Macaca mulatta: one gene and its partners. Each later gene encodes a partner of the first gene's protein in a complex. Links are inferred from orthologs where the notes say so. Each region holds a gene or a part of one and is shown in the gene's direction. Other genes may lie near its edges.

Evidence for each region. Proteins that work in one complex are often made in the same cells at the same time.
Region 2: ITPR1 (region 1) and PRKG1 share a complex: the UniProt entries of both Homo sapiens proteins name them as parts of the cGMP kinase signaling complex. The link is inferred for Macaca mulatta from reciprocal best matches to the Homo sapiens genes ITPR1 and PRKG1.
Region 3: ITPR1 (region 1) and CNN1 share a complex: the UniProt entries of both Homo sapiens proteins name them as parts of the cGMP kinase signaling complex. The link is inferred for Macaca mulatta from reciprocal best matches to the Homo sapiens genes ITPR1 and CNN1.

The regions. Positions count from the first base shown.
Region 1 is NC_133407.1:143,424,374-143,427,873, forward strand, and holds part of ITPR1 (inositol 1,4,5-trisphosphate-gated calcium channel ITPR1), read left to right. Parts: intron 1-1,770; coding exon 1,771-1,932; intron 1,933-2,008; coding exon 2,009-2,179; intron 2,180-2,662; coding exon 2,663-2,728; intron 2,729-3,449; coding exon 3,450-3,500. UniProt on the Homo sapiens protein: Inositol 1,4,5-trisphosphate-gated calcium channel that, upon inositol 1,4,5-trisphosphate binding, mediates calcium release from the endoplasmic reticulum (ER).
Region 2 is NC_133414.1:98,704,092-98,708,178, reverse strand, and holds the start of PRKG1 (cGMP-dependent protein kinase 1), read left to right. Parts: upstream 1-1,287; 5' UTR 1,288-1,391; coding exon 1,392-1,702; intron 1,703-4,087. UniProt on the Homo sapiens protein: Serine/threonine protein kinase that acts as a key mediator of the nitric oxide (NO)/cGMP signaling pathway. GMP binding activates PRKG1, which phosphorylates serines and threonines on many cellular proteins.
Region 3 is NC_133424.1:12,262,000-12,266,220, forward strand, and holds the start of CNN1 (calponin-1), read left to right. Parts: upstream 1-1,421; 5' UTR 1,422-1,689; exon of another isoform or gene 1,690-1,698; intron 1,699-4,221. UniProt on the Homo sapiens protein: Thin filament-associated protein that is implicated in the regulation and modulation of smooth muscle contraction. It is capable of binding to actin, calmodulin and tropomyosin. The interaction of calponin with actin inhibits the actomyosin Mg-ATPase activity.

The DNA.
Region 1 (3,500 bases):
GTGTGTGTGTGTGTGTGTGTGTGTGTGTCCCACCTAGGACAGAAAGGATTTAAGGAGATTTCCCAGAATACCTACATTACAAGATTATTTTTACATAGTGAGGAAATGCAATCAAAAGAAAGAATAGAAAGAGAGAGGGGCTCAAAACAGAGTGAAGTTAGTAAGATCATGTCCTGCTGTTGGGCTGTAATTTTATCCCTGAGCTCCTTACAGGCTATGCAACAAAAAAAGCAAAATCTGTTGTTCTTTCATGATTTCTAATATTAATCTATGAATCCCTTTAAAAAATACCACACTGGTCAATTTTGACTTAAGACATTATTATAATTATGGAACCCTTATACCTACAGGTATAAAATTTGGTATAAACACCCTGTGCATGTAGTTCTTATAATTAGCACACTTGGTTTGATTATTGCTTTATAACATATTACTCCAAAAAACTTAAGGATTCAAACAACCACCATTTTATTAATACCTCTCACGGCCCTGTGGCTTGATTAAACTGGATGGTTCTTCTGCTGGTAGTCACTGTTGGGTCTGTCACACTGTAGTGAGGTGGTAACTGGGGCTGGCACATCCAAGTTGCACTCACATTTCTGACACTATAGCAGAAATGCCTGCAAGGCCAGGACTTCTTTCTCTCTCTGTCCATGTGGATAACTTGGGCTTCTTTACAGCATGGTGGCTGACTCAAAGAGCAAATGTTCTAAGAGGACAAGCCAACAGTATGCAAGTGCTAATTGGGCCTCTGCTTGCATTGCATTTCCTAGTATCTTATTGTTCAAGCAAATCCCGTGGCCAAGTTCAGTGTCAGTGTGGGAGGGGACTACATAAGGGTTTGAATACTTTGTTGGGGCCCACCAGTGTTAATAGTCTACCTTCAAGCTTAATGTAAAACCTGTGAAATTTGAATTAGCAACGTTGTATACTGTGATGGAAGATGTTTATCTGAAATTTAAACAAGGTGTTGTGAGTTTATCTTAATACAGGTTCCATGTGCTGTGTGATCACTCAGCTCTCCCGCCATTTTCCTCATATTAAACAGCACTGAAACCTTCACACCTTTTTGGAATACACAGCATGAATACAGTATTTATAAAGTCCTCTCTGTGCTTTTCTTATTAGCCAGCAACCATGAAGATTCCACCATTTGTCATTCATTTGCCTCTAAACCCAATGTAGATGCAGACCCAGTAATTGACTGGCAGTGCTCAGTTATGGAGTACTCTGCCATTGGATCTAGGATATGCTTATTAATATTTAATATAGTCAAGCATGGTGGTGCATACCTACAGACCCAACTGCTCAGCATGCTAAGGCAGGAGGATGGTTTGAGCATAGGAGTTTGAATTTCGCCTGGGCAACATAGCGAGACCTCATCTCTAAAAATAAAATTACATAAACTAATAAGAGAAACACATCCTCTTGCAGTTCTCACACCACAGATGAAGCCCAGCAGAACACCCTATGTAGATGTTGAGAATCTGGTTCTGATGCTAGTCTTGTCACTTTGGGAGGGGAGGGACTTTGGCTTAAAATTTGACTTATCTTTTATGATGACATCTTACTTGTCTCCTCACCTCACAATATAGTTGAAGATGAAGCAAGGCGGTATTGTTAAAGGAGCTAATGAAAAGTGAAATTGCTTGTCTGGAGATCATAGTGCTAGAAATCTAACCAGGTTAGGGGCATCTGGGTCCAAGGTACGTGAGAGGAGGCATTTGTGATTCATCTGGTCTTTCCCCCTCCCTGTGCTCCTTTAGCGAGGAGAACACCCCACTGGACTTGGACGATCACGGCGGCAGAACCTTTCTCCGTGTCTTGCTCCACCTGACGATGCATGACTATCCACCCCTGGTGTCAGGGGCCCTGCAGCTCCTCTTCCGACACTTCAGCCAGAGGCAGGAGGTGCTCCAGGCCTTCAAACAGGTAGCTCAGGTCACCCACGTGTGTGTTGTCTGTCCAAGAAGCTGTTGTGTGCACCTAATGGATTGCATTCATTAAGGTTCAACTGCTGGTTACCAGCCAAGATGTGGACAACTACAAACAGATCAAACAAGACTTGGATCAACTGAGGTCCATCGTGGAAAAGTCAGAGCTTTGGGTGTACAAAGGGCAGGGCCCCGATGAAACCATGGATGGTGCATCTGGCGAAAATGGACATAAGAAAACGGAGGTGAGTGAAACACAGGTTAGGCTGCCAAAGTAGGTGGATGGGCTTCTCAAAACTAGCAAGCATCCTCCTCTGGTTTTAGGTATAAATGTGATAGAATGGGATTTATTTTCAAGAGATCTGCTTGTTAAGTCGCTAAGATCACAGCTGTTGGCCTAGGAAATAAGCTATGAATCAGAGTTTAGCTATGTCTCCTGTGCAGCCTCAGACTGTGTAGAAGAGACTTTGACGTTGAGTGAATTAGCACCAGGTTTCCCTTACAGACCCACTTGGGAATTGACCTGTTCTCTAGCCGTGGCCCAGCCCACTATCCCCTCCCAAGGAAACCCATAGCAAGTAGGTAGATGAGTGGGGCATAAACCCAGCATGACTATTGGAAAACAGTGCAGAACTCCCTTTCTTTCATAAAGATTGATGCTAGCTGTAACAAACTGACAGTAGCCCATGAGTCGTACAGATCACACTTGTGTTCACTTTGGTTCCTAGGAGGGAAATAACAAGTCACAAAAGCATGAAAGCACCAGCAGCTACAACTACAGAGTGGTCAAAGAGGTAAGCTCCTCCCCCACCACCGTATTTCCCTTCTTTATGAATTCTCTAAGGGGCTTTCATTTGTGATAGTCAAGTTGAAGGTACACACATTTGAGCTTTTTTCTTCGTGTGGTTTAACAGGGAGAAAGTAGAGCTCAGAGGTTAAGCTCATGGATTTCGGCATCAGATCTGGGCTCCACACCCAGCTGTGTTCTTCTTCTTATTTGTGTCCTCAGCTTCCTCACTGTTTATAGGTGCTACCTTTTATAGGCACCACATATTTCTGAAGCTTTACAATTGAAGGAAGGACTAATTGAGAAAACTGTCAGGGGTCATCTAAGTGCCTGGCACACAGCATCCCCACTGAGAGCTGTAGTTCTTTGGAAACCTTTGCTTAAGCTGGTTCAAAGTTGGGAGGCTGGGAGCTTTGTGTGTTTTACCCCAGAGCAAACTCTTCCCAGGGTCTCAGCAATGATGCCAGGTCATTCCATTTTAAGTGATATCTCTGAAACTGTCCCACTTGTTGTTGAAGCCATTATCCCCTGCTTATTCTGGAAGACGTGCCCTTAGCCTTATGGATTTGGCTTGATGGAATTAACAGAAATGCCACATACTGAAGGAATTTCGTTGTAGGTTTTTAATGCATTATTCCCTTTGCCTACCTGCCCACCACCACCCCCTGCAATCTGTTTTCCAGCTGTAGTTCCTAGTTTTCTGAGACTGATTTCTTTCTTTCTACTAGATTTTGATTCGGCTCAGCAAACTCTGTGTTCAGGAGAGTGCCTCGGTGAGA
Region 2 (4,087 bases), on another chromosome or scaffold:
TGATCATTTTGGGGAATATTGAGTGGGCAGGGATGGAGATGGGAGTGCGTAGAGGTGGGGGTGACTGCAGTATAGTGTACAATTCACTGCAGCCCGCGTAGTCTCCCTTGCTCCTTCACGATTTTCCCTCTTCTTCAAAGTTTGTGTCAGGATGTCTTCCTGGCCATTCAAGTGGAAATACACATTCCTAACAGCTTGATTGTGAGGAAAGTAATATTTTTAAAGGTATGGTTCAGTTTCAAGATGAACTTTTTGGAGCTCGGGAATGATTTTTAACCCCCACCCTCTCCCCGCCAAATTTAGCCAATGGAAGAAGCAAGGTCCATCAGAGAACTATTCCCAGGCACCAGCTCAAGGCGGAGGGCTCATGGGGAAGCTGAATGGCCTGCTAGGGCCCAAATCCGTTTTTGGCCTTTGCCTTAAAAGAGTTCCCTGATCAGAGTTTGGAAGGGGCAGAAAGGAGAGTAACTATCTGGAGCAGGTAAAGAGTAGCAACGCCTCGAGGGGATAAAATCAGAACCCCCACCCCCTACCCCACAACGCTTTCCCAAAGGTAGTAGGCTGAAAGGGGAAATTCCTCGCGGGCGCCGACTCGCTCGCAGCTCCTGAAAGGCAAGTTTCTTCGCAAGCATTAGCCACCTGTGTGAGGCGCTCCGGGTGGGAAAGGTGGTGTGGGAGAAGCGACAGCTCGGCCACACCGCTCGGGAGCTTTCCTTAGTGAGGCCGGCCGTCAAAATACCTCCAGAACTCAGAGCTTTGATGATACAGAGTCCCCTATGCCTCGTACGTCGCTAGGATCGTAGCCCAACATTCTCCAGGCTGGTCGGCTCTGGAGTCAGCTGAGGCCTCCGGAGTTTGCCCGGGGTCCTCCCTGTCCCCTCCCTCCCACCTCCCCACCCCCGAAGTAGAGCTCCCTCCTCGCTCCGCCCGCACACCCCCGGCGCGCCTCGGAGGCTTATCAGGCTCCCCGCAAGCCCCGCAAGCTTCCTTGGGCGCCCGGCGCGAGGGACCCTGAGAGCCCAGCCGCTGCCTCGGAGCCCCCATTCACGTCCCCTCCTCCCGCTCCCCCGCCACCGCGCCTCCCGGCTCTTCTACCCGGTGCCGCGGCGCCCACCGCGTCTCAGGTTTAATCCCGGGTTGGACCTGCTGGTTTGCTCTCCCCACTCTGAGCCTCACAGCCAGCCCAGAGAAGTGGAATCTGCACTGAAACTCTGGGTGGCTGAAGCCGGCGGACTGGGCATGCTCAGAAGCCAGGGCTGGCTTTGGTCTCAAGTAGGAAGCTTTGGCACTCGGGAGGCAGCGGCGACTTTGGGGAAAGTTGATCCGAGAGGGGAGGAAGCCCCACTACGCGGAGCAGCGGCAGGAAGGAGCCCCCGGCAGCCCGGAGGAGCATGGGCACCTTGCGGGATTTACAGTACGCGCTCCAGGAGAAGATCGAGGAGCTGAGGCAGCGGGATGCTCTCATCGACGAGCTGGAGCTGGAGTTGGATCAGAAGGACGAACTGATCCAGAAGCTGCAGAACGAGCTGGACAAGTACCGCTCGGTGATCCGACCAGCCACCCAGCAGGCGCAGAAGCAGAGCGCGAGCACCTTGCAGGGCGAGCCGCGCACCAAGCGGCAGGCGATCTCCGCCGAGCCCACCGCCTTCGACATCCAGGATCTCAGCCATGTGACCCTGCCCTTCTACCCCAAGAGCCCACAGTAAGCAGGGGTGACGCGCCGGGTCCATGTGGCGCCCTGGCGGTGGGGAGCTTCGGGTCTCTGTATTGTCTGTCGGCCCCCGCCCCTCCCGCTTGCCATGTCTGTCCTCATCCTCAGAAATGTTTCATTTTAACGGGCACTTCTTGCGGGGCTGTGCACGTTTCTCAGAGCCAGACTCACTGCACATACGTTGCCTTCGTGTCTTTGTCAGATGTCAAGGTATTATTTTTAAATATACATGTACATTCGTATAAGCCACCTAGTGTACGTAGAGTTTGAATGCGTCCCAGGTGTGTGTCCGACCGTGTGTGTGAGTGTGAGAGAAGAAATAAAAAGCCCCCCTGTCTCCCAAAAACCCTGGCAAACCAGCCCAGCTGGAAAATCCTAAATGCAGGCTCATCAGACTTGAAATGAAATGCGTCTGATATCACCCATACTTTCTATGCTTTTGTGGCTCTCCCGGATTTCTCTACCTGCTGGCGCTTCACGCTGGTACCCTTCAAACCTGACGTTCTTGTCATCATCAAAGTGTGAAACATAAGCAAATACACATAGAAAAAGGAAGAATTTTTGATTTCCTGAATTGGATGACATTTACAATCCATAAATGGAAAACTAGTCTGTTGATTTTGAAGAAATATTTTTTCATAACATATGAGGCAGAAGATTGCTTGTTTTCCTTAAGGAACGTGCATAATGTTACTAATGGAGCATCTCCATCTCCCAAGACGTGGTTGCTTGTTTCCAGGGTTAGATACAGATAAGCACACTTATCTTGCTTAAAACGGGGACCCATTGTTTGCCTTACTCTTGGCTTCTAATGCAACCACTGTGGCATTGTTCTAGCCTTTGAGAGAACTGTGCAATCCTGATGTTAGTGGGCTTCATAACTTGGATGGAAAAAATTTAATGAAACTTGTTATACAACACTTAACTCAGAGTTAGTATAGAGAGTAAAGCTACAGGAACATGAGGTTAACAGAGAATGTGGGAGAGCGCCCAAAAGAACGGCATTTTAAATTAATAGATAATAACATAATTGATAAAACCAAGGATGTTACTGCTTACTCTACTACTAACGACATCACATTGGCTGGATGGCACGTGTTACATAATAATACAAGGTCCATCGAAACCCTCCACTTCATAAACACAACAAGTTAATATAAGGAGAAAGTAGATACTCGATTATCTCTACTTGTATTTATTGGATATTTTTGGGGGGAATCACAGTGTGTACCAATTATTACTTTTGAAAACTTAGAGTTATACCTATACATGTTGATTCCCATGGAACATTTGCTGTTCATGCAGGCTTAGTTTAGGGAGGAGTTTGTATTCTGCGAGGGAGGTGGAAAGAGACAATAAGGATAAACATTTCTGAGATTCCGACCTCACCAAATTGCCCTAATAGTTCAGCAGACTTAGGTCTGCCTTAGAACCCTGAGTGATCTGAATAAACTTCAGCTTTCTCTGGTAAATTAATTTGCAGTCCTGACACGCCTGACTGTTTTAGCTAACGAGGTACAGGACCATCTCTCCTGGGCCAAGTTTTGCATAATGAAAAAATAACTCAAAGACAGCTCTCTGCATCTTTAAACATTCCATAGGATCTCATTTTCGTATCTGCAGGACTTTTGAGTGACACAGAGCAAACTCTGCTTTTACAAAAAGACCATTTTAATAGGTTTCATAGTGAAGCATGTTCAAGCCAGCTGATAACTCCAGTTAAACATTCCATCAGAGATTTACAAGATTCTAGGCAGTAGGGAATGAGCTATACAATGTGATAAGTTTAAAAGCCTCTTTGTACATGGCTTGTAGAATAACTAGATTGAAAAACTAACAAACAGAAAAGGTCCAGAGTGGAAAATAAAGCTGGTGTGGCAAATGATTTACAGCGTCCCATTATATTACAAATTTTATCTATCAAACAATGCTGTGTGTCCTGACACTGATTTCTTACTAATAACTTGTATTTTAAAGGACTCAGCTCTTAAGATATTGCCATGATGCTTTGGGTGACTCTGAAGTATTTTATTGAGGAAAATGATAGAATGCCTTCCAAGCTTAAATAATTTTGGAAAAACATCTGTTCTTTTTTCACACTTACATAAAGAAAACTAGAAAAAAATTGGCTTGAGTAGTAGAAAGTGTACCTTTCTTAGGGAAAATAGAAGTACATTGTATTCAAAATGAATAAATCTTATGTTATTTGAATGGTTGTACAAGGTAGCTCCACAAAGAGTTAAGAAAACCTGCCAAACCAAAGAAGACTTGTTTGCATTTCAGTGTATTTCACTATGAATAATTTGATTACACAGACTTACTGGCAACAAGTGTTTGTGTCTTTATATTTCATCTTTACTACATCTTAAACGTAGC
Region 3 (4,221 bases), on another chromosome or scaffold:
TTTTGTTTTGTTGAGTTTTACATTTTGACATTCAGGTCTATGATCCACTTTGAATTAATTATGTTGTGTGCTGTGTGGAAGGGGATCGCATAATGTGGACATACAGTTGAATTTGTTAAAGACTATTCTTTCCCTATTTTATTGTCTTGACACCCTTGCTAAAAACCAATTGACCATAAATATAAAGGTTTATTTCTGGGTTTACAATTCTATTCTATTGATCCACATGTCGACACTTATGCCACTATCACATTGTTTTGTTTTTGTTTTTGAGAGGGAGTATCGCCCAGACTGGAGTGCAGTGGTGCAAGCTTGGCTCACTGCAACCTCTGTCACCCAGGTTCAAGTGGTTTTCCTGCCTCAGCCTCCCAAGTAGCTGGAATTACAGGCGCCCACCACCACACCCGGCTCATTTTTGTATTTTTAGTGGAGACGGGGTTTCGCCATGTTGGCCAGGCTGGTCTTGAACTCCTGGACTCAAGGGATCAGTCCACCTTGGCCTCCCAAAATGCTGGGATTACAGGCGTGACCCACCATGCCCTGCCTACCACATTGTTTTTGATAACTATAGCTTTGTGGTAAGTTTTGAAATCAGGAGGTGCGAGTCTTCCAACTTTGTTCTTTTTTTTTTTTTTTTCAAAATTGTTTTGGCTGTTCTCACTTCCCCACAATTTCATATGAATTTTAGAATCAGCTGTTAATTTCTGCAAAAAAGCCAGCTGGGATCCAAACAGGGATGGTGTTGAATCTGTAGATCAATTTGAGAATTACTGCTGTCTTCTGATCCATGAACATGGGATATCTACTTGTTTGATTCTTCTTTTTTTTTTTTTTTTTTTGAGATGGAGTCTCGCTCTGTCGCCCAGGCTGGAGTGCAGTGGCCGGATCTCAGCTCATGCAAGCTCCGCCTCCCGGGTTTACGCCATTCTCCTGCCTCAGCCTCCCGAGTAGCTGGAACTACAGGCGCCCGCCACCTCGCCCGGCTAGTTTTTTTTTGTATTTTTTAATAGAGACGGGGTTTCACCGTGTTAGCCAGGATGGTCTCGATCTCCTGACCTCGTGATCCGCCCGTCTCGGCCTCCCAAAGTGCTGGGATTACAGGCTTGAGCCACTGCGCCCGGCCTCTTTTATTGTTTTTTAGAGATGGGGTCTTACTCTGTCACCCAGGCTGGAGTGCAGTGATACAATCACAGCTCACTGCAGCCCAAAACTACTGAGCTCAAGTGATCCTCCTACCTCAGCCTCCCAAGTAGCTGCGACTACAGGCATATGCTACCATGCCCACCTAAGTTTTAAATTTTTTGTAAAGGTGGGGTATCACTGTGCTGTCCAGGCTGGTTTTAAACTTCTGGGTCAAGCAATCCTCCCACCTCAGCCTCTTAAAGTGCTGGGATTACAGGCATGGGTCACCATGCCCGGTATGGAATTATTTTTCTTAATTTCATTTTTGCATTATTTATGGCTAGTGTATAGAAATATATTTTTATATGTCAATCATGTGTCCTATAACTTGCTGAACTTGTTTATTAGTTCTAATAGTTTTTTATTAGATTACTTGGGATTTTCTATATACCAGATCATGTCATGTCCAAGTTGAGACAGTTTTATCTTTTCCTTTTCAATCTGGATGCCTTTTGTTTTTATTTTATTGTTTTCTTTTTACACATTTTTTAGAGACACAGTTACCCTGTATCAAGCGCATTGGCATGATCATGGCTCACTGTAGCCTTGACCTCCTGGGCTCAAGCGATCCTCCCACCTCACCTTCCCAAGTAGCTGAGACTACAGGTGCATGTCACCATGCCTGGCTAATTTTTTTTTTTTTTTTTTGAGATGGAGTCTCGCTCTGTCACCCAGGCTGGAGTGCAGTGGTGTGATCTCAGCTCACTGCAACCCCACCTCCCAGGTTCATGCCATTCTGCCTCAGCCTCCTGAGTAGCTGGGACTACAGGCGGCCACCACCGCACCCAGCTAATTTTTTGTATTTTTAGTAGAGACAGGGTTTCATTGTGTTGGCCAGGATGGTCTCAATCTCCTGACCTCGCGATCCGCCCGCCTCAGCCTCCCAAAGTGCTGGGATTACAGGCATGAGCCACTGCACCCAGCCAACGCTTGGCTAATTTTAAAACTTTTTGTAGACACAGAGTCTCGCTGTGTTGCCCAGGCTGGTATTGAACTCCTGACCTCAAGCAATCCTTCTGCTTCAGCCTCCCAAAATGCTGGGATTACAGGCAATAGCCACCACATCTGGGGCCTTTAATTTCTTTTTCTTACTTAAGTGCCCCTTCTGGAACCTCCAGGAAAATCCTGGACAGACATGGTGAATGGACATTCCTGTCTCGTTCATCTTTTTTTTTTTTTTTAATTAAGACGCAGCCTCACTCTTGTTGCCCAGGCTGGGGTGCAATGGCATGACCCTGGCTCACTGCAACCTCCATCTCCCCGGTTCAAGCAATTCTCTTGCCTCAGCCTCCTGAGTAGCTGGGATTACAGGTACCCACCACCACGCTAAGCTAATTTTCTGTATTTTCAGTAGAGACAGGGTTTCACCATGTTGGCCAAGCTGGTGTCAAACTCCTGACCTCAGGTGATCCACCCACTTTGGCCTCCCAAAGTGCTGGGATTACAGGTGTGAGCTACTACGCCCGGCCTTGTTCCTCATCTTAAGAGGGAAAAGCATCTAGTATTTCAACATTAAGTATGATATCAGCTGTGGGTTGTTTGTTTTTGAGACGGAGTCTTGCACTGTCGCCCAGGCTGGTATGCAGTGGTGCACAATCTCGGCTCACTGCAACCTCAGCCTCCCAGGTTCAAGTGATTCTCAGCCTCCGGAGTAGCTAGGATTACAGACACCCACCACCATGCCAATTTTTTTTTTTTTTTTTTTTTTTTTTTGGTATTTTTGTAGACACGGGGTTTCACTATGTTGGCTAGGCTGGTCTCGACCTCTTGACCTCGTGATCTGCCCACCTCAAATTCCCAAAGTGCTGGAGCTGTGGGTTTTTTATGATGCCCTTTCTCAGGCTGAGGAAGTTCCTTCACATTTCTAGTTTGATGAGTATTCTCATCAGAAAGTAGATTGGATTTCCCAGCACTTTGGGAGGCTGAGGCAGGCGGATTACTTGAGGTCAGGAGTTGAGACCAGCCTGGCCAACATGGCAAAACCTCATGTTTACTAAAAATCCAACAATTAGCAGAGCATGGTGGTTGGTACATGCCTGTAGTTCCAGCTACTTGGGAGGCTGGGCGAGGAGAATCATTTGAACCCAGGAGGCGGAGGTTGCAGTGAGCTGAGATCGTGCCACTGAACCTCAGCCTGCACAACAGAGGGAGACTCTGCCTCAAAAAAAAAAAGTATATCGGATTTTGTCAATGTTTTTCCGCTTGTATTGAGATAATCATGTGGTTTTTATCCTTTATTCTAATTCTAATGTAGTATATTAATTGATGTTCACATATTAAACTAACCTTGCATTTCTGGTATAAACTCCACTAGGTCATGGTGTGTAATTCTTTTTCCATGCTGTTGGATTTTATCTGCTAGTATTTTGTTGAGGAATTTTATGTCTATATTCATATGATATACTGACTGCTAGTAAAGAGGGAAAATGTGTGAAAATCAATAAATTTAAAAAATTAAAAAAGAAACATTAAACCGGGTGCAGCAGCTCACACCTGTAATCCCAGCACTCTGGGAGGCCAAGACAGATGGATCACTTGAGGTCAGAAGTTTGAAACCGGCCTGGCCGCCGGGCGCGGTGGCTCACGCCTGTAATCCCAGCACTTTGGGAGGCCGAGGCGGGCGGATCACAAGGTCAGGAGATCGAGACCATGGTGAAACCCCGTCTCTACTAAAAATACAAAAAATTAGCCGGGCGCGGTTGTGGGCGCCTGTAGTCCCAGCTACTCGGGAGGCTGAGGCAGGAGAATGGCGTGAACCCGGGAGGCGGAGCTTGCAGTGAGCCGAGATCGCGCCACTGCACTCTAGCCTGGGCTGGGCGACAGAGCGAGACTCCATCTCAAAAAAAAAAAAAAAAAAAAAAGAAAGTCAGAATCCACTGAATGTGTACCAACTCACCTGCTAAAAAACAAAACAAAACAAAAAAAACAAATTATTGGCCCTATCCCAGACCTATTGAATTGGAATCTGCTTTTTTTTTTTCCAGATGGTCTTGCTCTGTCGCCCCGGTTGGAGTGCAGTGGCGTGATCTAGGTTCACTG